Sus scrofa: one gene and its partner. The protein of the gene in region 1 interacts with the protein of each later gene in a biochemical or structural test. Links are inferred from orthologs where the notes say so. Each region holds a gene or a part of one and is shown on either strand. Other genes may lie near its edges.

Evidence for each region.
Region 2: the proteins of ARAF (region 1) and GNA12 form a complex in vitro, tested with the Homo sapiens proteins (2 studies listed by BioGRID). The link is inferred for Sus scrofa from reciprocal best matches to the Homo sapiens genes ARAF and GNA12.

The regions. Positions count from the first base shown.
Region 1 is NC_010461.5:42,079,243-42,091,284, reverse strand, and holds the end of ARAF (serine/threonine-protein kinase A-Raf), read right to left. Parts: exon of another isoform or gene 11,910-12,042; intron 11,735-11,909; 5' UTR 11,676-11,734; coding exon 11,580-11,675; intron 11,428-11,579; coding exon 11,324-11,427; intron 10,114-11,323; coding exon 10,011-10,113; intron 9,921-10,010; coding exon 9,766-9,920; intron 9,649-9,765; coding exon 9,550-9,648; intron 7,696-9,549; coding exon 7,554-7,695; intron 7,447-7,553; coding exon 7,419-7,446; intron 7,319-7,418; coding exon 7,173-7,318; intron 7,078-7,172; coding exon 6,875-7,077; intron 4,289-6,874; coding exon 4,112-4,288; intron 4,009-4,111; coding exon 3,962-4,008; intron 3,437-3,961; coding exon 3,318-3,436; intron 3,082-3,317; coding exon 2,950-3,081; intron 2,044-2,949; coding exon 1,909-2,043; intron 1,617-1,908; coding exon 1,482-1,616; 3' UTR 1,039-1,481; downstream 1-1,038. Other genes in the region: SYN1 (synapsin-1), read left to right, coding at 1-79. UniProt on the Homo sapiens protein: Involved in the transduction of mitogenic signals from the cell membrane to the nucleus. May also regulate the TOR signaling cascade. Phosphorylates PFKFB2.
Region 2 is NC_010445.4:1,999,518-2,011,559, forward strand, and holds the end of GNA12 (guanine nucleotide-binding protein subunit alpha-12), read right to left. Parts: intron 8,249-12,042; coding exon 8,198-8,248; intron 6,525-8,197; coding exon 5,955-6,524; 3' UTR 2,977-5,954; downstream 1-2,976. UniProt on the Homo sapiens protein: Guanine nucleotide-binding proteins (G proteins) are involved as modulators or transducers in various transmembrane signaling systems. Activates effector molecule RhoA by binding and activating RhoGEFs (ARHGEF12/LARG).

The DNA of each region.
Region 1 (12,042 bases):
CAGCCTTAGCCAGGACGAGGTGAAAGCTGAGACCATCCGCAGCCTGAGGAAGTCTTTCGCCAGCCTCTTCTCCGACTGACACCCCACCCCGAGAGCCCCCACTTCCCTGGGCAGCCCCCGTCTGGGCCCTGAATCCATTTCTCACTTTTGGAGTCTCACCCCTTGAGAAGCCCGCTCCTGGATCGCCCAGACCCCTCTTCTCACTCCTCAGAAAGCCCGAGTCCCTGGGGAAACCTCGCTCCTGGTCCTAAGTCCACTTCTCACATTCGGAATGCCCATGTCCTTTCAAAAGCCCCCTCCCGCTCACCCCAAGCCCTACTTCTCAGTTTGAGAACCTCAGCATTCCTGAAGACATCCACTCCCGGTCCCCCCCGAGTGCGTTTTCCTTCCTGGAAGCACCCAAACTCCAGGCAACCCCTCCTGGAGCCCTGAAATTCCTGGAAAACCCCACTCCTGGTCACAGATGTCTCCAGCACACCTTGTTCCCCATCAGAATTTCCCCAATCCTTAAAATCCTTAAGAAACCCCTCCCTCTGAGACCCCCTCTGTGACCTCCCACTGCGGGAGATCCAGCTCTTCAAATGCCCCCCGCCCAGCCCCACAAGGATTTCCCTTGGACACCAACCCCCAACCCCCGGCCACCCTACTCAACACACTGGGAGCTCCTCCCACTGCTAGGACCCCTCGGTGCCCCAGGGACCCTAGCCCCACTTTCCTGCCTCTGACAGCTGTCTTTAAATATGCAAATCCCACCCAACCTCCCAGAATCCTTTGCACACAGCGGGCCAGTGGTCCCCCACTTGCCCACCTTTGCCGTGGTGTCTGTGTCTGTGACTGACGTGGCCTCCTCTCGTGCCGTGCTTGGCATATGTGGTCCTCGTTCATCGTGCCGCCTGTGGTGATGCGTGCAGTGGCGCTGTTTGTGTGGTCCGCACCTACCCCCAACCTCCACTCCTTGCCTGGACTCACCCTCACCCCTCAGCGGCTCTGAACCCCACGAGAAGAGTCGGGAAACAAAATAAACAAGCAAAGGCCCAGCAGAATTCTGTGCTTCTTGGTGAAGAAACAGGGGAGTCCTTGAATGGTGAGGGAGAGACAGAGGGGACCCCCCCAAATCCACACGGGGTGCTGGGGACCCCAAAATCCAGTGGAAGGCACATCAGGCACAAATTCCAGAGAGGCTCGGAGTGGAATCCCTGCCACAAATCCCAGCCATTGGAGATGGAGGAGCCCCTGAATTTATAAGTATCCCCAAAGCCAAGAACAAACCCAATTATGGAGGAGGCAGGGGTCCCAGTCTTTGGGGGGTCCCCCAATTCCAGAGGAACTGGAAAAGTACATGGGGACCCCCTCATCTCCCAGGGCGGGGATGGGGGATCCTGAGGCAGTATCAGGGCAGAGACAGAACATTGATTGGTTGGTGGGCAGGGCTCCTTGGCGTGGCAGGCTGAGATTGGCTCCCTGGTGGCTGGGGGTGGGGCCTAAGGCACAAGGCGGGCTGCGCTGAGTAGGCAGGCAGGCAACTCATCAGCCTGGGTTCGGTGCAAGGAGGGTTCCGAGGCACTCCGCTCAATCTTGGGGAGTGACCGCTGCAGCAGCTCAATCGTGGCCAGGATCTGGGGGCAGGGGTGGGTCAGGAGGGGTGTCCAGAGCCTCATGGCCACTCCGGCAACCCCAGGCCCCAGCCTAACGGGGAAACCCCCCCCCCCACCCACACACACACAACCTGTACACCTTGGAGCCCTGGAGAGAGAGAGAGACACACACACACACACACACACACACACACACACACACACACACACACACCTTGGAGCCCTGAAGACACACAGTTCACATTCACACCTCAAGAGCCTTCCTCCTCAGAAGCTTCCTCCCCAGGTAGTCCAGCCCTCCTCCTTGGCCCACCTGGGGGAAGAGGGGTCGCTCCTCCCGCTGGAACTTGAGGCAGTCAGACAGCAGGCGCCGCATGGCCTTGGGGCAGTTGCTGGAGATTTTGCTGAGGTCCGGGGACAGATAGCCACGGCCCACCATGAAGATAATCTGGCGGGGAAGGGCCAGAGTGAAGTGACCCGGGGATCGAGGCTGAGAAGGCCAGGAAAATCTGGGTCTTGAGGGACTTGGGGGGCTCCTTTTTGGAGAACTGGGGCATTCTGGGTATGGGAGCCCGGAGGATGGTGGGTATCTTGTGGAGCTAAGGATTCTGGGTCTCTGAGGACTCGGAGGGATTCTCTGCTGACAGAACCGAGGGATTTAAGCTTGGGGGAAGTCGGGGATTTAAGTGTCCAGGGCCCAGAGGATTAAGGGCTCCACAGGTTTCGAGGGTGCTCAGGGGCCTGGAAAGCATGGAGTCTGGGGGAAACACGAAGTTCTGGGCTTGGAAGGACCAAAAGGACTCTAGCCCTCAGGAGCTTGTCTTTCCCTGGAGGACTATGGCTCCACGTGGCCTGGCGGACTTCAGGTGCACAGGACCCAAAGACTATTGGTACCTGGAGCCTAGAGGACCCTGGGTTTCTGACCCAGGGTCTGAGTGATTCCAGGGCTTGAACCTGGAGAACCCTGAGTCTGGGGCCTAAAGCACTTTGGCTTCCAGGACCCCCGCCTGCCAGATACCCATGGCCTGAATGGTTGTGGGTATCTGAGGATTTTAGAAGCACAAAGGGATTGTTTCTGGAAGAAATGGGAGTCTGGCCTTTGGGGATGTTTGGGAATTTTGAGCACCCAGGCCAGACCACTGTGCATCTGGACTCTGGGAGCTGGGGGGGCCCAGGGCAATTCTGGGTATGGGAGACCCAGAGGATTCTGGGAATGAGAATTCCCAGAAAACATGAGAAAACATGAGAAGCCCAGAAAACATGGGGTCTCCTGATCTGTGCGGAGGAGATGCGAGGTTTGGAGGCTGAGGGGATGCCCCGGCGTGGGCGATGGCAGGTGAGGTGCGGGGCTCACCTGGTCACGGCTGCCAATGTGGCTGTAAGGCAGCGAGCCGGTCATGAGCTCGTAGAGCACCACCCCATAGGCATAGACGTCAGACTGGAAGCTGTAGGGGTTCGGGTCCTGCATCCGGATCACCTCAGCCGCCTTCAAGAGGCCAGACCAGGCAGGAGGAACAGGAGGTCAGCAAAAGATTGGCCCGGAGGCCCAGATCCCACTCGCCACACTGGGTGTAACGCAGAGCCACACACCCTGGGGCGAAACGTGAGCTGTCCAGACACACCCACACTTGGCCCAGGTATCCCTGTCCCCACTTGGCCTCCCACATCCTCGCCAGCCACCCATGTCCCCACGTGCCCCTACTCTAGCCAGGCCCAACTCACCATCCACAGCACGGAGCCCGAGGGCTGCTCCAAGGGCTGGGCCCCGCTCCACCGCGTCTTCACTGTGGCCAGGCCGAAGTCCCCGATCTTCACCGTGAGGCCCTCGTGTAGGAAGATGTCCGCCGGGGTCAAGGATCACCACTGCGACTCGCCCCGACTGATGCCTCCGCACCAGTCACGCCGCTCCCCTGACCAGAAGCCCCCCAGTGTCACACAGACTAGCCACGACCTGGACTTGGGTGGGGAGCTCCAATTAATGTCCCCTACGCTTGCCCCCTCACCCCCCACCCCCCGCATCACTTCCTGACCAGGAAGCTCCTCTAATGGCACCGACACCCACCACGCCTGCAACACGGATCAGGAACTCCCCATAATGCCCTCCACAACGGCCACCCCGCAGGCCCTGACCAGGGTCCCCAGAGGACAGCACTGGAACTGGCCACCACTCTGACTCCTGTGACCCAGAGACCCCCCCCCCCATTAGAGGCCCCTCGCCAGCTCCAGCTCTGGCACCTGGCAAAGGGAAATGCCACCTGAGTGCCCCTTCTGTTCTCCCCCAGAAAGCCTCCCCATAAGAGCCACCCCTCCAAGCCCTCCTGTTTGATGCCCCCCACCCCAGCCCTTACACAGGGGCAGCTGGATACTGTTAGACTTGAGATCTCGGTGAATGATGTTCTTGGCATGGAGGTAGCTATGGGGGGTAGAAGCAGAGGGCGGATTGTCTGGAGGCCACCTCATCTCCCCACTCCAGCAACCCCCCGACCCCTCCCTAGTGCCCGGGCCAGGCCGCTCACTCCATGCCCTGGGCAGTCTGCCGGGCCACATCGATGAGCTGGACCATGTCGAAGCGTGTGTCGGCCACGTGCAGGTGGTGGTACAGACTGGAGCCCTCGCACCACTGTGTGATGATGGCAAAGCCGGGCCGGGTCATGAAGCCCATGAACAGCAAGATGTTGACGTGCCGCGTCTTCCTGCAGGCAGGGCGGGCGGCATCAGGGCAGGGAAGGCAAACGGCAACTTCCCGAGCATCGAGCATCGGGAAGGGCGCTGTCCACTGCTCCTTCTGTCGTCATTCCCACCCTGTCTTTTGGGAGGCACAGGGCCAGACTGTGGCCAGATTCAAGGCACTTGTGAGTGACGTTTGCTGGGCTATGATTCCAACCTGGGGGCTCATGCCCGGAGCTTCCTCATCCAAGTCTCCCAACAAAAGCAGGAGGGAGGGATTACCGCCCCCACCCTGACCCCCTACTGACCAGGAGCGAGTTCATCACAACACCTGCCACCCCTCTGACCCTGACCATGACCTGAGCCTGTGACCATGTGATGAGGCAAGATGAGGAAGTGGACTAGCAACCTCCTCCAGTGATGTATCAACATAATATTGATATGTGCTGGGTAAAAATATCAGTGGGAGTGCCTGATGAGGTGCAACGGGATTGGCGGCAGCGCTGCAACACGAGGACGCAGGTTTGATCCCTGGCCTGACACAGTGAGTTAAGGATCTGGCGTGGCCAAAGCTGTGGTATAGGTTGCAACAGTGGCTTGGATCTGATCCCTGCCCTGGGAACTCCATATGCCGCAGGGCAGCCGAAAAAAAAAAAAAATCAGGGACGTGTGATCATATCCTGTTAATCATGAGAGGCTTAGAGATAAAAGAGCTTGAGGTTTGGGCTCAGATTAGATCCCATGTTCCAATCCTGGCTTCCCCAGGTACTCACTGTGCAATCTCAGGGAGGACAAGTAACCTCTCTGTGCCTTGTTTTCCCCAGCTAAGACTCTGTGATAATTATATGAGCTACCCGACAGGGGTATTGGGAGGAGAATGTTGAATAAATAACCTGTACGGTCCTTAGAACAGCAGAACACAAGCGAGCACCCTGACAATGCCACTGTCCTTGCTGCTATCGCTACTGGGTAGCTGGGACTACCTCACAGAAACCCTGTCCTGTGTGAACAGAGCCACCCTCATTTAGAAGAAAACCTTCACTCTTCATAGAAGCATTAACTACAGTTACATTGGTGACATAAACACAAGGAACATCAAGGATGCTGCTCGATTTGCTCACATCAGAGTGGATAACCATGCTCTTTACAGCAGTCAGGTTATGGTTTCCTTTTTGTTTTTTGTTTTTGTTTTTTTTTTTTTTTTGTCCTTTGTCTTTTTTTTTTAGGGCTGCACCCGCAGCATATGGAGGTTCCCAGGCTAGGGGTCGAATCCGAGCTGTAGCCGCTGGCCTGTGCCAGAGCCACAGCAACGCAGGATCCGAGCCGTGTCTGCAACCTACACCACAGCACACGGCAACACTGGATCCTTAACTGAGCAAGGCCAAGGATCGAACCCGCAACCTCATGGTTCCTAGTTGGATTCGTTTCCCCTGCCAAGACAGGAACGCCTCGATTTTTTTTTCTTTCCTTTTTTGGCCACCCCACAGCATATGGAGTTCCTGGGCTGGGGATCAGCTCCCATCCGCAGTTGTGACCTACGCAGCACCTGCAGCAACGGTGGATCCTTTAACCCACTGTGCTGGGCCGCGGATCGAACCTGTGTCCTGGAGCTGCAGAGACGCTGCTAATCCTGTTGTGCCACAGTGGGAACGCCTCAATATATTTTTTTTGGCTGCACCTATGGCACACAGAAGTTCCGGGGCCAGGGATCTAACCTGTGCCATGGCAGCAACATTGCCAGATCCTTAACCCACTGAGCCACTGGGGAGCTCCTCGATATTAACGCAGGGCAAATTCCCAGCCTGCTCAAATCACTGCCATCTCACAGAGGGGAGCAGAGACTGAAAGTTTTCTTACTGTGGCCTCCACTGTGAGGCTGAGTATGAAAACAGCCCAAGGAAGTATGATGATAACATCCACTCTGTAACATAAATGTGCCCACTTGTCCAGGGAAAGCCGACACCAGCAACCCCAGGGCGGGTGGTAACTAGGGTGGCCAAACGGGAGCACCAGGGTTTCTCAGCACGAATGAACTAATACAGTATTAATGATGCATTAAGTGGAGCAATGACATTCATTTACTGGCCCAGGAGTCCATTATGGTTCTGATTATGCCTCTAATACTGGCCTTTGAGGTACGGTACTGCTGGAATTAATAACAAGGACGCAACGCAATAACCATACTCATGAGGCAGGACAAGCCCAGGAGAGGGAAGGATGCCAGCCGGCCTGGTGATGTGGTTTAACTCGCATTATGCTGTTACTGTAAGGACACGCAATGACGTTACTGATGGCCTGTGGCCATACCCATTTCACAGCGGGCAAACGGAAAAGACCCACACTTTGGAGGCAGAGCCGCTGATGAATATCAGTCATTACCTCCGCACGGACAAGAAGATCGTGAGAGGTCCTCTAAGCATACCTGCTTCCCCGAGGGGAAAGGGACTTCCCTGATAGAGAAACGGCTTACAGCTGTGGTTAGGACACAACACAGACCTGGTGGTGGAGGGGGGTGTCTGCCGGAAGGGCCCCCAGCTCGGCCCTTCCCCAGAGGGGCACCGAGGCCGTGCCCGCCGCCCTCGCCCCCCAGCCGCACACGCGGGCCATCTCACCTGAGCACTTGCATCTCGTTCTTGAAGGCCTGGGCCTGCTCGGCTGTGGGCTGGGCCACCTTGAGCACCTTCACGGCCACATCGCCATGCCACCGCCCGCGAAACACGGTGCCAAACGAGCCCGTCCCGATCCTCTTCAGCAGCTGCACCTCACTGGGGGGCACCTCCCAGTAATAGCCCGAGTCCCGGTACCCCAGATTCTTCTGTGGGCCACATGGGTGGCATCTCAGGGGCCCGCCCACGCCCCTTGTCACCTCGGCCAGCGGTGCCCCCACCAAAGGTGCCCCCTGGGGCTTACCACTTTCTTCTTGTCGTCGGCCAAGGACTTCCGCTCCCGCTGCTCAGATGGCGACTTGGAATGTGGGGACTTCCTCCCCGAGGACACGCTGGCTGGGCTGGGGCTCCCCCGGGGGGCTCCGTCGCCACCACCTCTATTACCAGCAGCTGCGGGTGTGGAGAGGCGGTGAGTGGCCCCGGGCGGGACGGGGGTCGAGGGGGGGGGCTCAGTAGGGGTGTGGGTGGCAGGGAGCGGGGGGGCGCTCACCATCAGTGTTGAAACTCTGGGCAGTGAGCTGGAAGAAGAGGGCCGGGAGTCAGAGAGAGGACGTGGAGGACCACGGGGGCGGCCCTCCCCTCTGCCCGGTGCTCCCCCCCGGTGACCGCCCGCCTCGACACCAACCTGGACCAGGCCGGAGTCCATGGGGGCGGTGGTGCTGACCATGTGGACGTTGGGGGTGGACGTGGAGCGGATGCGCTGCAGGGGGGCATTGGCCGGGGCAGGGAAGGGGAAGTGCTCAGGGTCGCGGTGCTGGGTGCAGGAGCTGGCAGGGGAAAGGCTGTGAAATCACTGTCGAGGGAATGAGAGAACCAGCAGAGCAGCCCCCCACCCCGTCCTGAGTGTGTGTTTAGCTCACACGGCGTCAGTGTCCGCTGTGATTATACTACTATTCGTCTGTTCAAGAAGCGCTGACTGCGTGCCTGCCCCGTGCCAGACACCACTCTAGGTAGTGGAAGGAAAGCTATGGGCCCAACAAATAAAGGTTCTTGCCCTCATGGGGCTGACTGCAGCAGGGAGAGGGAGACATGAAAAATAAAGAATATTTAGGAGTTCCGTCGTGGCTCAGCAGAAACCAATCCGACGTCTCTCCATAAGGACGCGGGTTCGATCCCTGGCCGCCTCGCTCAGGGGGTCGAGGATCCGGCATTGCCGTGAGCTGTGGTGCAGGTTGCAGATGCGGCTCGGATCCCGCGTGGCTGTGGCTGTGGCAGAGGCTGGCGGCTACAGCGCCGATTCGACCCCCAGCCTGGGAACTTCCATATGCTACGGGGGTGGCCCTAAAAAGCAAAAAAAAAAAAAAAAAAATTTAACATGATCAATCATGACAGGTGCAATAAAGCAAAAAATAAAGCAACATATGGAGACAGAAAGTGTCACTGGTTGTGTCAGGAAAGGCTTCTCTGAGCAGGTGACATTTGAGCAAAGACTTAAAGGAGGGACAGCCGGCCGCACAGAGAGTGGGGGCAGAGCAATATATATCATATAACTGCCTGTACTATTCAAATTTGTGTGCACCATACAATGTACAGTATGTTCTCTATATTAAAACGGCAATGCTTCTATATAATAATGTTCTAGCTGATACACCCATTCAAGTATGTTATACATGATATATATCATACATAGTTTCAAAATATTTAATGCTCCCTCCCTATCCTGAAATGCAATTAGAGATAATTAATTCATATAGGCCCCCAAATTAAAAATCCCTAACTTTACAATTTTACAGATTACATAAAGTTTGGTGTTTGACATCATATAAAAACATTACAAATATGACACACAATACAATGGCATAAAGACATCATACAGATGCTATAAAATATATAGGCATATAAAATGCGTATTATATAAGCTTAGGATATATTAAGGCAATAATATGCTTTGATATTGAAATACTAGAGTATAATACTTAACACAAAGGAGAAGTGAAAAGGAATTTATGGTAAAATAACATGTATTTCAAAATGGAAGGGCCTGAGCATGTTTATACTGGAGGAATTAATGAAGTGGTTAGTATACACATATTTAACAATAAGAACTTATTATCTTGTACCAGATCTTCTTGTAAGCACTGGACATGTCTTTTTTTTTGTCTTTTTTGCCATTTCTTGGGCAGCTCCCGCAGCATATGGAGGTTCCCAGGCTAGGGGTCCAATTGGAGCTGTAGCCGCCGGCCTACACCACAGCCACAGCAACGCGGGATCCAAGCTGCGTCTGCGACCTACACCCTGGCTCACGGCAATGCTGGATCCTTAACCCATGGAGCAAGGCCAGGGAACGAACCCGCCACCTCATGGTTCCTAGTCGGATTCATTAACCACTGTGCCACGACGGGAACTCCGTAAGCACTGGACATGTCTTAACTCATTTACTCCTCACCAGACCCCCGTGTGATCAAAGTGTCACTTTCCCCTCTTTACAGATGAGAAAACTAAGGCCCAGAAAGATTAGGTGACTTGCCCAAGGTCCCACAGCTCCATGCCCTCAACCCCACTTGTAGGTGCTCAATAAATGTTCATCAAGTAAACAAATGAATAAAGTATGGCTTGTGGTCCACAGGGGCCTCCAGATCTTTTTCTCCTGACAATAGCCCTTTGGCTAAGGCATCCCCTACCTGGGACCCTGAGGGGTTAGCGGCTCATTCAGGGGGCGGTTCGAGGGAGTCTCATGCTGTCTGGAGCCTCCGGACAAATCCTGGACACTGTGGTAGAACCTTGAGGGCATTGAGGGTGTAAAGCGAGGGAAGATGGGTCAGCTGGCTGTACGAGCCTTGGGGCTGGGCCTCTGTCCTCCCCACCCCACCTGCCCACCCACCCCAGGCCAGGCTCACTGTCGGCGATTGGTACTCATGTCGACACAAACTGTGGGGACCTTGGAGGAACAATGCTGGTGGAACTTGTATCCACAGGTTTGGCAGCGGAAGCCATGGAACAGAAACTTAAGGCAGAAGTCACAAAAGGCCAGGCTGAAGAATGTCTTCCGTACCTGCCGCCACAGAGCAGAGACGGTTGATGCCTGGTCAGGGACCCTCCCGCCACGTGCACGGTCTGCCCCCGCTCTCTACCCTGCACTCACAAAATTGTGCATGGTCAGGGGGACATCTTCGAGGACCTCCACAATGAGCTCCTCGCCGTCCAGGGGGGCAATGGCCGTGTCCCAGGCGGTGACTGTCTTTCGCCTGCAGAAGGCATGGAAGGGAGTGAGCGGGACGGTGGACAGGGGCCATGGGGGAGAATGGAACCCCCAAAAGTCCCTCCAAGCCCACCATCCATGGAGTAACAGGTGACATGTGTCATGCTCACCAGGGCAGCTCTAGGAATCAGTACTATGCTTTCCCCCATTCTGCACATGAGGAAATAGGCTCAGGGGGACGAAGTGACTCGTCCAAAGCCACAAGGGATTGGGAGGGGCAGGACAGCAGGAAGAGTCCTTGCTCTTCTCTTAACCACACAATGAGGAGCAAATGAGACAGTGAAGAAACAACTAAATCTCCGACGTGCTGAGCCAGCAGCTGGTGAGGCACTGAAATACCAAATATAAAGCAAAGCAAAGTGGGAGTTCCTGCTGTGGTGCGACGGGATCAGTGGTGTCTCTGATGCACCGGGATGCAGGTTTGATCCCTGGCCCGGCACTGTGGGCTAAAGATCCGGCGTTGTGGCAACTGTGGCGTAGGTCGCAAAGGCAGCTCAGATCTGATCCCTGGCCCGGGAACTCCATATGCCTCAGGGCAGCCAAAAAAGAAAAAATAAATTACTTAATTTTTTTTTTTAAAAAGCAGAGTTCCTGTTGTGGCTCAGTGGTAACAAACCCGACGAGTAATCCACGAGGACGCGGGTTCGATCCCTGGCCTTGCGCAGTGGGTTAAGGATCCAGCAGTGCCGTGAGCAGTGGTGTAGGTGACAGACACAGCTCGGATGCGGCACTCCTGTGGCTGTAGTGTAGGCCGGCAGCTGTAGCTCCGATTGGACCTCTAGCCTGGGAACCTCCATATGCCACAGGTGCGGCCCTAAAAAGCAACAAACAAACAAACCCAAAGTTAAGGAGCCCTAAAGCAGAGGAATAAATGGAGGGCGAGCAAGGCCCACACCGCAGATGGAAAATGAGGAAACGGAGGAAGGAGAGAGCGGACAACCTGTTGAAATAACAAAAAAACAAAACAGACGGCGTCCAGGAGGAGAGGATGACTTGAGTCCCAAGAAGAAAATGAGCTGCTGACCTTATGGGCCCGCGAGCCGATGAAGGGATGAGGCAAAGGCTAGTTGGAGTCACTGAATGAAGGGAAGAAGGCTACGGGAGACGATGCCACAGCAGCGTGGAGGAGTCAGATGACTCCGGGATGGGATGGACAGCTGGGCCCCCAGTGGGGGTTGGGGGGGTGCCACGCTTACCCCTTGATGAGCCGGTAGACCACGCAGCAATCCTGATTGAGACCTCGCACCTTGAGGGCCTTGTCCAGAGAGTCGTAGACACTCATGCCATCCCGGACAGTCACCTGCGTGTGCGCACAGATGTGAGGAGTCGGTGCCCCACGGGGTCCCCAGCCCTCGGCAAAGGCGTGCTCCCAGCCCCTGTCACCTTTCTGATCCACGATGTCCAACCGGGTCCCTGCCCACCCCTGGCCAGCTTTGCTCCCGTCAGACTCACCACCGTGCGCTGCTTGTTGGGCAGGTACACTTTGACGGTGCCCACTGCCCGGGACGGCTCGGCCCCGTTGGCAGGGGGGCCCCGTGGTGGCTCCATGGAGCCTAGGACTTTGTCAAGACGGGCTCAGGTGGGGCTGGGCAGGTGCCATGGGGCTCCTGGAAGACAGAGGCGGAATGCAGTGGTCCGGGAACAATTGTTAGGAAGCAAAGTGGCAGAGGACAAAAAAACATTCAGTCCCCAGGCTCCACGTCTCCCCCTGTAGCCTAATACCCACACAGCTCAAGGGATCCAGTTCTTCCTCGGCCCAGCCCCTCCTGTTGTTTGTCTCACCCTTAAGTGCCAAGGTCTCCATTTCACTGCATAGGGCGGGGTGGGGTGGGGGTTAGGACATAAAGAGAGGCAGCACACACTGTCCTGGAGGCCACAGGAGCACACGAAGTCTCTGGGCTGGGGACTAACGGGG
Region 2 (12,042 bases), on another chromosome or scaffold:
GCCGACGGCCACCACTGCCTTGTCCCTGTTCTGGGGTCCCCCAGGCACCCCGGGGGCTGCGGCGCAAGGCAGCCAGGAGGGGGCTGAGGGTACAACACTGACTTCCTGGCTGCACTCGGGTCGAGAGAGTGACACGCCGGCCAATGAGAGCGGGTCTGAACGGACTGAAGGACACTTGGAATGTTCTGCGATTTGCATGGTAGGTCAAAGGGGACGTGTTTCGATTCTAGAGGACGGGCTCCCTAGGCACCTGCTGTAAATGTCTTCACAAGCAGGCCTGGTAAAGAGCCTAACAGCCAAGACACGGGGAGAATGGCGCACGTTTCCCAGGCCGCGCGAGCCCCCCCCCCCGCCCGCCAAGGCAGCGAGGGCTCTGACCCCCTGGCTGCAGGTGACCCTGGAAAAGGCTCCAGGTTCATCCGGACAGCCCGGGGAGGAGGGAAGCCACAGAGGCCCGGCTTTGTTAGTCTGGCTGTCAGGCCAAGCCTGGTTGCAAACACTTTCCCAAGACCCCTGAGTGACAGGGCTCTCTGCCCACGGTGAGGGCTGCTTTTGAGGGCAGTTGGACAGACGGTGGTGGGGAGACCCCCTGTGTCTCCCCAAGGCTGTGGGAGGCCGCCCTGGGAACAAGGCACTGAACAAGGCACTGAACAGAGGGGGTGGGGCGCCCAGGACAGAGAGTTCAGCAGCTCTGGTGCACCGCAGCCCCGAGAGCCCCCTCGAAGCGCCCAGGCCGCTGAGGAGGCCACCAGGCTCTGTCACCACTCATGGTGGAGGCCACAGATCACATAGTGGGGCCTCCTGGCAGCCCGTCTCAGCCCCCTCCAGAGCCCTCCTGAAGTCAGGTGTTGGAGGCGAGCCCCTGGACCTGCCCTGAGCTGGAGCCAAAGCCTGTGTGCCCTGACACACAGCACAGGGCCGCACTCCTGTGCCCCCGCCTGAGCCGGCGGGATGCACGGTCCATGCTGGCTGGCCACCTGCCAGGAGGTGCCCTCCCGCAGGGAAACCTCCAGCTCGACGGAACGGCTGGGGTTATGTTGGCTCAGGGGAAATACTCAGCTTTTAAAAGTACAAAATAAAGTGAATTTAGTGTTAAGAAAAAGGCGCCCGAGTGACAAGCCTGGAGCAGACAGAGCAGGACGACCCTGGCCCAGCGCAGCCCGGCTGTCTCCGCCCTGCTGGCCCTCGGGTCCGAGCTGCTCGCGGCCGGGAGGCGCTGGGGCCTGTCCAGGACCCCCAGTGGCTGCTCTCGGCCCTCCCAGCTGCGGCCCAGCTCTAGGGTTTCACTTTGGTCTGTGTTTTGCACACACACACACACACACCCCACCACCAGAAGAAAAACTACCTTGGTAACCAGCGTGGAAGCGGAGAACCCAGCTTGCAGGTGGGGCCAGGCTGGCACTTGTGAAGTGAGCCGCTCGTGGTGGCAGCTGCAGGGTCCTCAGGTCCCCTGTAATGAGGACCTCATGACAGCGTGCTGAGGTGTCTGGGTCTGAGGAACAGGTGACACAGCCTGGCCTCTCCCGGCCACTCCACACCCTGGCCAGCTGGCTGGCCTTGCCGCCGTGCACGTACCACTTGACAGGCAGGGGTCTCATTTGGAGTGCCCCTGTCCCCATCCTCACCCCCCTCGGACGCCCGCTCCTGGCAATGCCCATCCTGCCGGGTACCTGCTTGGTTCTGGCCACACCCTGCTCCTTCTGGCGTGAGCTCCGCGCTCCTGGGGCTCCCGGCTCGTGGCCACTGTCGGGTCTGCCCCAGGAGCCGTGCCAGGAGTAAACCCATGTCATCCTGCGCCCCAGGCAGGGAGGGACCTGCTGTGCTCAGAAGGAGGTTTTTGCCTGAGGAGATACCAACCGCCCTGTGGAACCCCCAACCGCCGCCTGGAAAGGGCCATCCTGGGCGCTAGCAGATACCCAGCCTCCGGGCTCTGGAGCCCTCTGGAGGGAGAGCGGGCAGAGGAAGAGCAGCCCTCTGGGGACCTCAAGTCCTTCTCCAGCAGAAGACTGACAGCAGGGCCCCTGGGGCAGGAGGAGCCCGGCCACGCCCGCAGGGTGCCCCCACCTGCCCTCACCGTGAGCTCGGCCTCGCCCTTCCCTAACTCGGCGCCCAGCAGCACCACCTGCCGAGAAGGGCCCTGAACACAGCAAGTGTGGCCCCCGGAACTGTCTCAGGAGGCCCTGGCTGGTGCCTCAAAGATGCCACCAGCAGGAGCAGGCCCTCTCCTAGCTGCAGGCCCAGCAGCACCCTCTGCATCAGGACCGGCGCCCCAAACGCAGGACCCACACACAAGGCCCACCCATCCCTAGGCTGCTGTGCAAACCAGGCCGACTCGAGAAGGGTCTGCCTCTTCCTTCACACCGTTTCCTAAATCTCCCAGCATCCCTGAAGAAGGAGGGTGCTGAGTGCCCCTGGCGAAGCTTCCAGAAAGGGTGGAGAAAGTGGTGCTGAAAGGACGGCCCCCCAGGTTGTCAGAGGCTCAGTGGGAACACCTGCCGTCACGTCCTTCCCGAGGTGAGTGGTCACAGCAAGGGAGGACCCAGCGGCCACGACACCGGCGACCAGCATTCTCCCCACGCGAGACACAGGACCCCCGGCCCGGAGGGCCCTCCCTCCCAGGCAGGCGCTCTGCTCCACGGCTCTGGGTCCCAGCGGCACAGCCTGCCCGGTGCCGACGTGAGACGTCTGGGCAGGACGGGCTCTGCGTGGCTCTGCCCAGGGCCTCTGCAAAGCCCCTCAGGTGACCCCACGTGGGGGCCAGAGCTAAGCACCCCCACGTGGACCAGCTTCGACAGAGCAGCTGGCCCCCATCCACGTGGACAAGGAAGGGCACAGGTTTCTCTGGGGGAGGGGCTCTGCGGCGCCCACGTGCCCTGCCCTGGCCGTGACCCCCGTGCGGGACCTACGTTCCTTCTCCAGAAGAGGATCCTGAGCAGGATGAGCTGCCAATGACTGGGAGTCACTCGTGCTTTGTGTCAGCAGCTTCTCAGGTTTGCGGTGGGGACAGTAGAGGGGGCGGCGGCTGAAGAATCCCCACCCTCCCTTCCTCTGGCCTCCGGGCACATCCAGGTCCATCACCGGGCCTCTCCTCAGCCCCACCCCCGGCTCCCAGGTTCAGGGCAGCAGGAGGCCCCCCTCCCCCGCCCTGCACACACACACACACACGCGTGTTGCTACGTGTGTCTGGCGCTCTTCCCTGAGCTGCAGGCGTGTCCAGGGGGCTTGTGCACTCACAGTGTCTGTGGCGGCTCTCCTGCGTGTCCCACGTGGAAATAAACTGATCGGCGAATAATGAAGCTTCAAGGAGCATCAGGGTTACAGTTATCTATCTGCTCTGAATATCTGGGACCGAAAAATTACTGTTGGCTTTGAACGCTGAGTGGTATTTTCTATTGAAGAAAAATTAAGGATCTATTTTAACAAATATCCAGAGACTGAAAGAGGTCAGATCATCAAACCAGCCCCTCGACCGATGCCAAAGGGCTGGGCAAAGTGTAAGCCGTGAGCCGTTCACCCCAGGCTCCAGAAAACGGTGCCCACACTTACGACACCAAGGTGGCGAGTGTCTGTCTCCAGGATGCCAGAGTTGGTCACAACCCGTCATCTTGTTGCAAGATTATTTCTTGGTCTTGGAGTTCAAATTACCTGACTCCTTCTTCTTTTATCAAAGAAGTAAAAGAACTATAAAAAGAAGGACTCTAGCGATCTCTATAAATTACAAAGCCACAACGCAGTATCTGTGAAACAAGTTGTCTACAAACAGGAGGGTTAAAAAAATATTTCAGTGAAACACATACACGTGTCTTTGTGTGTAAATGGTGGAACTATGAGGAAAGTATCTTAGTTTAAGGAAGTTTATTGTTAGGTTTTTGTAGTAATAGATGAGGCACAACTATCTCCTGCTTCTCCAACATCTCAATAAAAAAGACAATAATCAGGAGTAACAGTGAAATTAAAAAATACAAAAGCCTAAGGTTTTGGACAGAAAAATGACTATAAACTACGTGCAGAAAAACTGTAAATGGTTTTAGTTTAGCCTTGCAAAGAGTGACCTTCTTCTCTATGACAAATCAGGCCTTGCGAAGCTGCCTGCTCGGCTCGCAGTGGAGGGGCGGGGGCCCAGGCCCTCAGGCGTCCCACCCGCGTCCCGGCCCCTCAACAGCCGCGGCCTCCCCTCCCGGGGCGCGTCTGGGTCTGCAAGGGGACCAGCGCACGTGTCAGGCTGCTTCACTGACCAGGCTGAGCCCAACTGGTGGGAGAGCCGTTCCAACACCTCCGCCGGTTGCACGGATGGCGAGGGCAGAGCCACGGAGACGGTTCCCAGCTGGTGAGGGAGCCGGAGGCCCCCGAGGCCCCCGGGAGCCCCGGGCCCAGCCGGCAGGGAGAGCGCAGCTGCAGGCCCAGGGCAGGCCCTCGGCCCTGCCCCGACGGAGCCCAAGCGCGTTCTTTTCCCTTAAACCAGGGTCACTGGCCCTGAACCTGGAGCACGTCCTTTCGGTTTATGAAGAGCCACAGGAAGCAGGACAAAAACAGCAACTTTTCTCCAGCCAAAAAAAGAGCCGAAACTCCAGCAAACGCCGACAGGAAGCCTCGAGCACGAGAAAGGATTTCGTGCTGTCCCCTCGTTCAAACGCTGTGATAACAGGATGACTCAGAAGCAGGCCTCTTCCTCCCCTTCCTGCGGGCCAGCCTCCGAGGCCGCTGCTTATCTGCCGGATGAAAGCGAGCAGGACAGGCCCCAGGACACAGGACGGAACAGCGTGGCCTGGGGCCGGGGCCTGGGGATGGTTCTTCAACCACAGGAACATTCTGGTGCCACTTACAGGGGAAGTGTTTTCTCGTTCACTTGCTCAGAAAAGTCCTCGACAGGCCACACAGATTGTAGCAGAGGAACACCCAGAGGAGGCCAGTCTGGAAGGCAGCGTGTTTTTGAAACGGTGACAGACACCCGGGCAAAGCACCGGAGAGCAGGGTTTACCAGCTCGCAGCGACGTTCACAGCCTCCTGGAGTCTGACCCGGAGGAGACCACAGCCGGTAGTGTTTACCTGTCACGTGTGTGGTAACAGAAGCAACAGACTGGATCCGAGCTTTGATCCTCGGGCTGGCTATTGGAAGGCACCAGTGGGGTGGCAGTGTGGACAAAGCCGGATTTTCCGGGCAGCAGCTGCGGCCCGAGTGAAGGCTGTGCTGGCGATCCCGCCAGCTCCGGAGGCCCCCGAGAGGGCGAGGCTCCCTGCAGCCGCGCAGGTGCTGGGCGACGGGGAGTGACGGGGACAGAGGCAGTGCCCGCAGGGCCGAGGGCGGGAGGGTGGCCCGGAGGAAGCAGGCACCGCCGGGCAAAAGGGAGGGGGGCATGCACCTGCGTCCACACCTCCCACCCCGTGATCTGACGGGGCGGGAAGACAGCGCACGCAGGCTGTGGGGGCGTTAAGGCAGGTCTACACCCGCATTCTCGCTCCCCTGCTCTCAAGCCGGCGCCGGCGCTTCATCGAACAGCCGGGACCAGGGCCTCTCGGGAAACTGGCACAAGAGAGGGAAAGGCGGCGCCCTCCCTCGGGGAGGCCCCGCGCTGGGACCCAGCTCAGCCCGCACGCCCGGCACCTCCCGCGAGGCCCCAGCGGGCGACGCCCCTCCGCGGGGACGCAGAGCTGGAGAGGACCGGCATCGGCCTCCGCACAGACCTGGGCTTTGGCGGCTCTGCCACCAAGGACGGCGCGGGCGCGCGCAGACCCGCAGGCCCCGCCTAAGCTGCGTCCGAAAAGGAAGCGTCCGGAAGAGGGAAGCCGTGTTCTCCGGCGTCGCACGTTCACACCAGGGTGACCGCTTGGATCTCAGTAGTGTCACTCGTCCCCAGGACTCAGTAGCTAATGCCGGCGCGGCGCCGCCTTCGGCCGTGCGCGCGCCGGCGGGACGGAGCGCGCCCCCGGGGCCCGGGCCCGCGGCGCGGCCGCTCTCACTGCAGCATGATGTCTTTGAGGTTCTCCTGCAGGATGGTGTCCTTCACGGCGTGGAAGACGAAGCGGATGTTCTCGGTGTCGATGGCGGTGGTGAAGTGGTGGAAGAGCGGCTTGCTGCGGTTGCGCCTCTTCCGGTCGAAGCACTGCACCAGGTAGCGCTGCACGTCCTCCAGCCGGTGGGGGTCGCCCTTGAAGTCTGGGAAGTGCTTCTTGATGCTGACGGCCTTGACCTTCTCCACCAGGAGGTCCATCTTGTTGAGGAAGAGGATGATGGAGACGTTGAAGAAGAGCTTGTTGTTGACGATGGTCTCGAAGATGTTCATGGACTCCACCAGCCGGTTGGTGCACCTGTCCTCCATGAGCACCTGGTCGTACTCGCTGGAGGACACCATGAACAGGATGGACGTGATGCCGTCGAAGCACTGGAACCACTTCTGGCGCTGCGAGCGCTGGCCGCCCACGTCCACCATCTTGAAGGGGATTTTTTTGATGACGAAGTCGTGCTCCACGATGCCCTTGGTGGCCTTCCTCGCCAGCAGGATGTCCTGCTTGCTGGGAAAGTAGTTCTGCAAGACAGGACAGGGAGACGCTTGGGGGAGGAAGGTATGGCGGCGTGGGGGGGGGGGGGGATGCCGTGGAGGGAAAGAGCGTGGGGCTGAAGCGGACGCCAAAAGCACCTTTCACTCCCAGAACCCAGGGCGGGTGATCGGGAGCCTCCCTCTTGGCTCCTGCTCAAAAACCTCATCCCTTTCTTCCCCACAGGAAACTACCATCTTTCTCCCCCTGCACCATCGCAACCTTTCTATTTTTCTAACTCGCAGGGCACACGCATTCCAAAAGCTTAGTGTGAGCAGATTTAATTGAGGTTCTGCACTGCTCTTTGAATTTCGCCTGCCGTATATTTAATGTGTTTTTCTTGGGGAACTCTTACAGTCTTGAGCACTACGCCGGCAACCGCGGTCACGCAGACCGCCCTGCTCCTGCACCACCGACAACCCTCCCGCGGTTACTGCACACTGGCACTCACGCAGCAGCCCGGCCCCAAACCCAAGCAGGGACAGCGCTCTAGGACCAACCCATTCCCACGGTGCACGGGGGTGTGTGTGGGGGGGCAGAGAGACACCTGCATTAACACGGTCGGGGTGGCGCAGCAAAACCCAGATGTGAGAAACCCCACAGGAGAAATTGCCCAATCACTCCAACAAATAAAGCCAAAAAAAAAAAAAAAAAAAAATGAAGGCAGAAGCCTATGGATTAAAGGAGGTTTAAGTGACATGGACCAAATGCGATGATGGACCTTAATAAGAGGTTGATTCCAACTGCTGAAATACAGCAGCGTCCGCAAGAAAACACTTATGAATGAGACATCTGGGAAAAATCTCACAACTGACCAGATATTGGTTGATATTGAGGAACACTGCTAATTTTTTAGGAGCAATAATGGCATTGTGGTTGTGACTTTTAGAGTCTTATCAGTCCAGAGATACCCTCCAAAATATTCTCTTTTTTTTTGGTCTTCTTGTCTTTTTGCCTTTTCTAGGGCCGCTTCTGCAGCATATGGTATGGAGGTTCCCAGGCTAGGGGTTGAATCGGAGCTGTAGCCACCCGCCTACGCCAGAGCCACAGCAACGCGGGATCCGAGCTGCATCTGCGACCTACACCACAGCTCACAGCAACGCCAGATCCTTAACCCACTGAGCAAGGCCAGGGATTGAACCCGCAACCTCGTGGTTCCTAGTCGGATTCGTTAACCACTGCGCCACAATGGGAACTCCCCTCTAAAATATTCTTGATGAAGTAATATGATGGATTTGTTCCTGGGGGTGGGGTGGGGCTGAGGGAACAAGCCGGGTCAGAAGCGACAGGCACTGCATGTGGGGTTTCATTACACTATTTCTCCTTGTATACGTTTGCATTTTCCATGATGAAAAGTTAAAGGAGCTCTTTCGTTTACAAAAGAACTTCCGTCTCCATTTTTGTGCTCTGGGAGAAGGAATCCTTACAGAAACCCTACTTTACATCCGATTTAAGCAGGGACTCGAGGTTTCCCAGCAAGACGGTGAGGAAGAAGAAACCCTCGGCCCCTCCATCCTGACACAGATGGAAGCGGGAGCGTGGCGTCTCCACCGCACTCCTGGTCCCCAACGCAGCGAGGCTGGCTCTCGAGGGCGGCTTCCGTCTCCACACAGATGCTTTCTGACCCTCGACCACAGGCTCCTGGAGGGGGGCTCTTACTCACCAGCTGGCCAATCCGGTCCAAGTTATCCAGGAAATACTTCACCGATTCGCCCTGTCGTGGAGGAAAAAGATTCGCGACTCAGTCTCGGTTGAGGAACGCGGACGTGGTACAGGGAGAACTTAGCAGGGTCGCAAGAGTGCGGTTTTGCCTCTGGGTGAGTTGGAAGGCAAAGTGAAAGACTGAGAGCATGCATGGAATTTTAAAAATTAAAACCAATCCCAAGCATCCAGAAATGCCATTTCTCTAGCGGATCCCAAGGTTCAAATTCCAACTGTTTTTTAAAGTGTCCCCACTGGCTCCTGGCGACGGCAGGCTGCTGGCCCCTCCAACCCAGCTGACGCCTCCCTCGCGGATGCGGAGGCTGGCCCGCTGCAGGCCACGCCGCCAGGGAGCCCGAAGGGAGGACCGTGGTCCTGCGAGCAGCGCTGCCAGCGCAGGACTCCCGCACTGCTGGAGAGAGGGGACATCTCTGGCAAGAGACACAGGACAAAACATGCTCCAGTGTCGCCAGCAGGCCCTGCCACACATTTGTACAACCTGATTTACACTCTACGACAAGGGACGCTCTGGTCTGGACTCAGGGCTGCAGCGGCCCGTCTTCTTCAGCCCCCAGACGCGCTCGGGACTGGACGTGGACACAGACCCAGACGCTGGGTAGCTGGCAGCGACCTTGAGAATCACCCGCACTCCTGCACCCTTGGCGTTGTGGGACGCGGCTGCCCTCTCGGCCTGAGGACGTCAGCGGCCTCGGCCTGGATGGAGCGGCGGGGGACGGGCCTGCGGGCGGGCGCCGGCCTGCAAAGGCCGGACGTGGGGAAGGGGTTCTGACCGGTGCAGGGGACGCGGCTTTCTAGAGACTCCGCTGAGCCTCCTTCGGCCGACGGGACCAGTGGGGTGGCGCCAGGCTCTGGGGGCGTCGCCCAGGGAGCCACACACGCGGGCCGCAGAGGCCACGGCAGACCTTTCGGGGGGGGGGCAGTAGAAAGGAGCCAGGGTCCAGCTTGAGCTCATGACCCCATGAAAACAAGGTGAACAAAGACGGGAGCGGCAGCTCTTCTTACGAGGCTCAGGCCCCAAGGAAGCGGCCACGGCGGGAGGCCCCTTAGGGACAAAGCAGCCTTCGGGTTGAGGCCTGTGCGTGGCGCACAGACAGCCTTCTGCTTCAGGCCAGGGGACACTCCCCCTGGGCACGGACTCTGACTCGTGGCACAGTTCTCCCCCTTGGTGTCCGGCTCTGCTCCAGCAGGTCCAGGCAGTCAGAGGTGGGCCCAGGCAGCGGTGCCCGCATCCCCAGGTCCCCCAAGGCAGAGCCGCAGTCTGGCGTGGTGGCGGCAGCGCGCCCCTGCCCACGGCTGCCCTAGGCGCTCACTGCACGGCCTGCTCCTCCCACGACTCGACAGGACACAGCTGGTGGCGAAGCGCTGCTGGGGGGTGGCTGCTCGCCTGAGCTCTGGCTGCGTCTCCCCCCACAGGGCCTCCCCTCTCACCTCCTGACAGGAGAGCTTAGGAAGACTGAGGACACTGCCGGTGGGTCCAGGAGAAAAGAAAGTGGACAAGCTCCCTGGCGGCGGGTCTGCGCCAGACAGAGCACAAAAGGTCACGGCAACACATGCCTCAGCCCGTTCTGTCACTGTGATGTGGCAGATGTCCCGGCAACACGGGGGCAACCTTAAGCCCAACACACAGCTGTGGCGTGAAAAGCCCCAAGGACACAATTAAGGACAAGCTAAACACAGGCTCTCTTAAAAAAAGAAGGAATTATGTCCCCCAGTTTGACTTTAAATATTTCCAATACTGAGTCGGAAGTCAGGGTCACCCCAATGGACCTTAGAACGCAGGGGATGCTCATGCTAACGGCCTTTGGGGTTCCTGTGGCACCAGGATGCTTTAAGAGCCGCAGCAACCTGCTTCCCGACACCGGAGGTGCCTCGTGCGCGATGCCGCTGCACGGTCATGGCCACGGCTCTTTCTAAAGAGAACCCCGACGAGGACAGGGAGACATGCAGGGGACATGCCAGGCAGGGGACATGCCAGGCAGAGGGCGGGGCCGCTCTGCTCTCTGACTCGGGCGAGAGGGAAGGGGACAAGGAGGGCAGACGAGGAGCCAGCGTTCAAACCAGAATCGGTGGGCCAACTCCGCAGCCTCCGCCCTGCTGGCCGGCTGGGCTGGACGCGGCCGAGGACACAGGCTGTGCGGTCGGACCGAGGGGGCCGTCTTCCATCTGCAAGGCTGCCTACAGGATGGGCACGCGCCACAGGCTTGCAGCGTCAGCTCGTTCAAAGGTCGGGGTCACCCTTCTGATCTATCCTCAGCCCTTGTCCGAGAGGAGCGTGTGGGGCACAAGCCGAGATGCCAATGTGAAATTAACCACCCAGACTCCGCTGTAGACACTGGAACAGGAATGTCCGTGTGTGACCCCCTCCCCAGGGGCTGAAACCTAACCCCTGGGGTGGTGGTGTCAGGAGGCGGGGCCTTTGGGAGCTGCTTGTGTCTCGAGGGTGCAGCCTCATGAATGGGCTCAGTGCCCTTATTAAAGGGACCCCAGAGGGCTCCCTCCCGCCTCCCGCGTTAGGGCACAGTGGGAAGATGCTGTCTATGAACCGGGAAGCCGGCCCCGCCCGACGCTCAATCTGCTGGTGTCCTGACTTTGCAAGACCAGCCTCCAGAACTGTGAGAAATAAATGCTTGCTGTTTAGGTCTATGGTGTTTTATTACTGCAGGCTGAATGGACAAACACAGCACCTTTATAAAAAGAGTATGGAGTTCCTGTCATGGCGCAATGGTTAACGAATCCGACTAGGAACCATGAGGTTGCAGGTTCAATCCCTGGCCTTGCTCAGTGAGTTAAGGATCCGGTGTTGCCGTGAGCTGTGGTGTAAGTTGCAGACGCGGCTCGGATCCCGTGTTGCTGTGGCTCTGGCGTAGGCCGGTGGCTACAGCTCCGATTCGACCCCTAGCCTGGGAATCTCCATCTGCCTCGGGAGCGGCCTGAGAAACGGCAAAAAGACAAAAAAAAGAGTATTATGCGAGGCAAAGCGCCCTGAGGGTCTCCTGGTAGCTGCAGCAGTAACATGGTCTACAAAGAGGAGGACGTGGGAAATGGGCTTTTTATAGCCCTCCTTGGTTTGAAGAATCTCAATCACTTAAGATGAAGAAGATGGATTCATGGATTAGACCCAACACAACGAACACATGAGCTCAGGGGCCAGTGAGGCCACACTCCACATCCAGCCTGCCTCCTGCCTCCAGCCCCCAGCGAAGCTCCGGACGAGGATGCTGAGGGGGTCCAGGGGTGGAGGAGCCAGGCTGTCTGATTCAAGCGGCAGCAGCAGGTGCTGGAACAGATGGGCGCATGACACGAGGACAGAGGCAGGGCCCAGCTTATGTGCACGACGCCTTTTTGGCAAATGGACTCTGATCTCGGGCGCCATCGCCCACCCCTCTAGTTGGTGAAAGACACGTTCAGGCTCCATGCCGCCTTGAGGGATCCTGTCCGGCTGGTCAGACGGACGCTCCTGTGCTCCCGCATCCCAGAAGCTGCCCCTCAGGCCACCGCGCAGCCCGCGCAGGTCCGAGAGGACACAGCCTCAGCTCGTTCAGCTGGGAGTGAGCCCAGGCCGTCGAGACCGGGGCACGACGGGCTTGCTCTGGTCACACCTTTCTCTGGATGGGAATCCAGTCTCCCACACCTGGGTGAATTCTGGTCCTTTCTGTCAGTGTCACAGGGGAGGTATGAGCGTGAAAGAGAGCCTGCCTGGGTCAGGAATCACCAGCAGAGGCCCCACAGGAGAGGGGAAGGCGGAGGGAGGGGTGGGTCAGGCCAAGGGGTCCAAAGGCGGAGGCG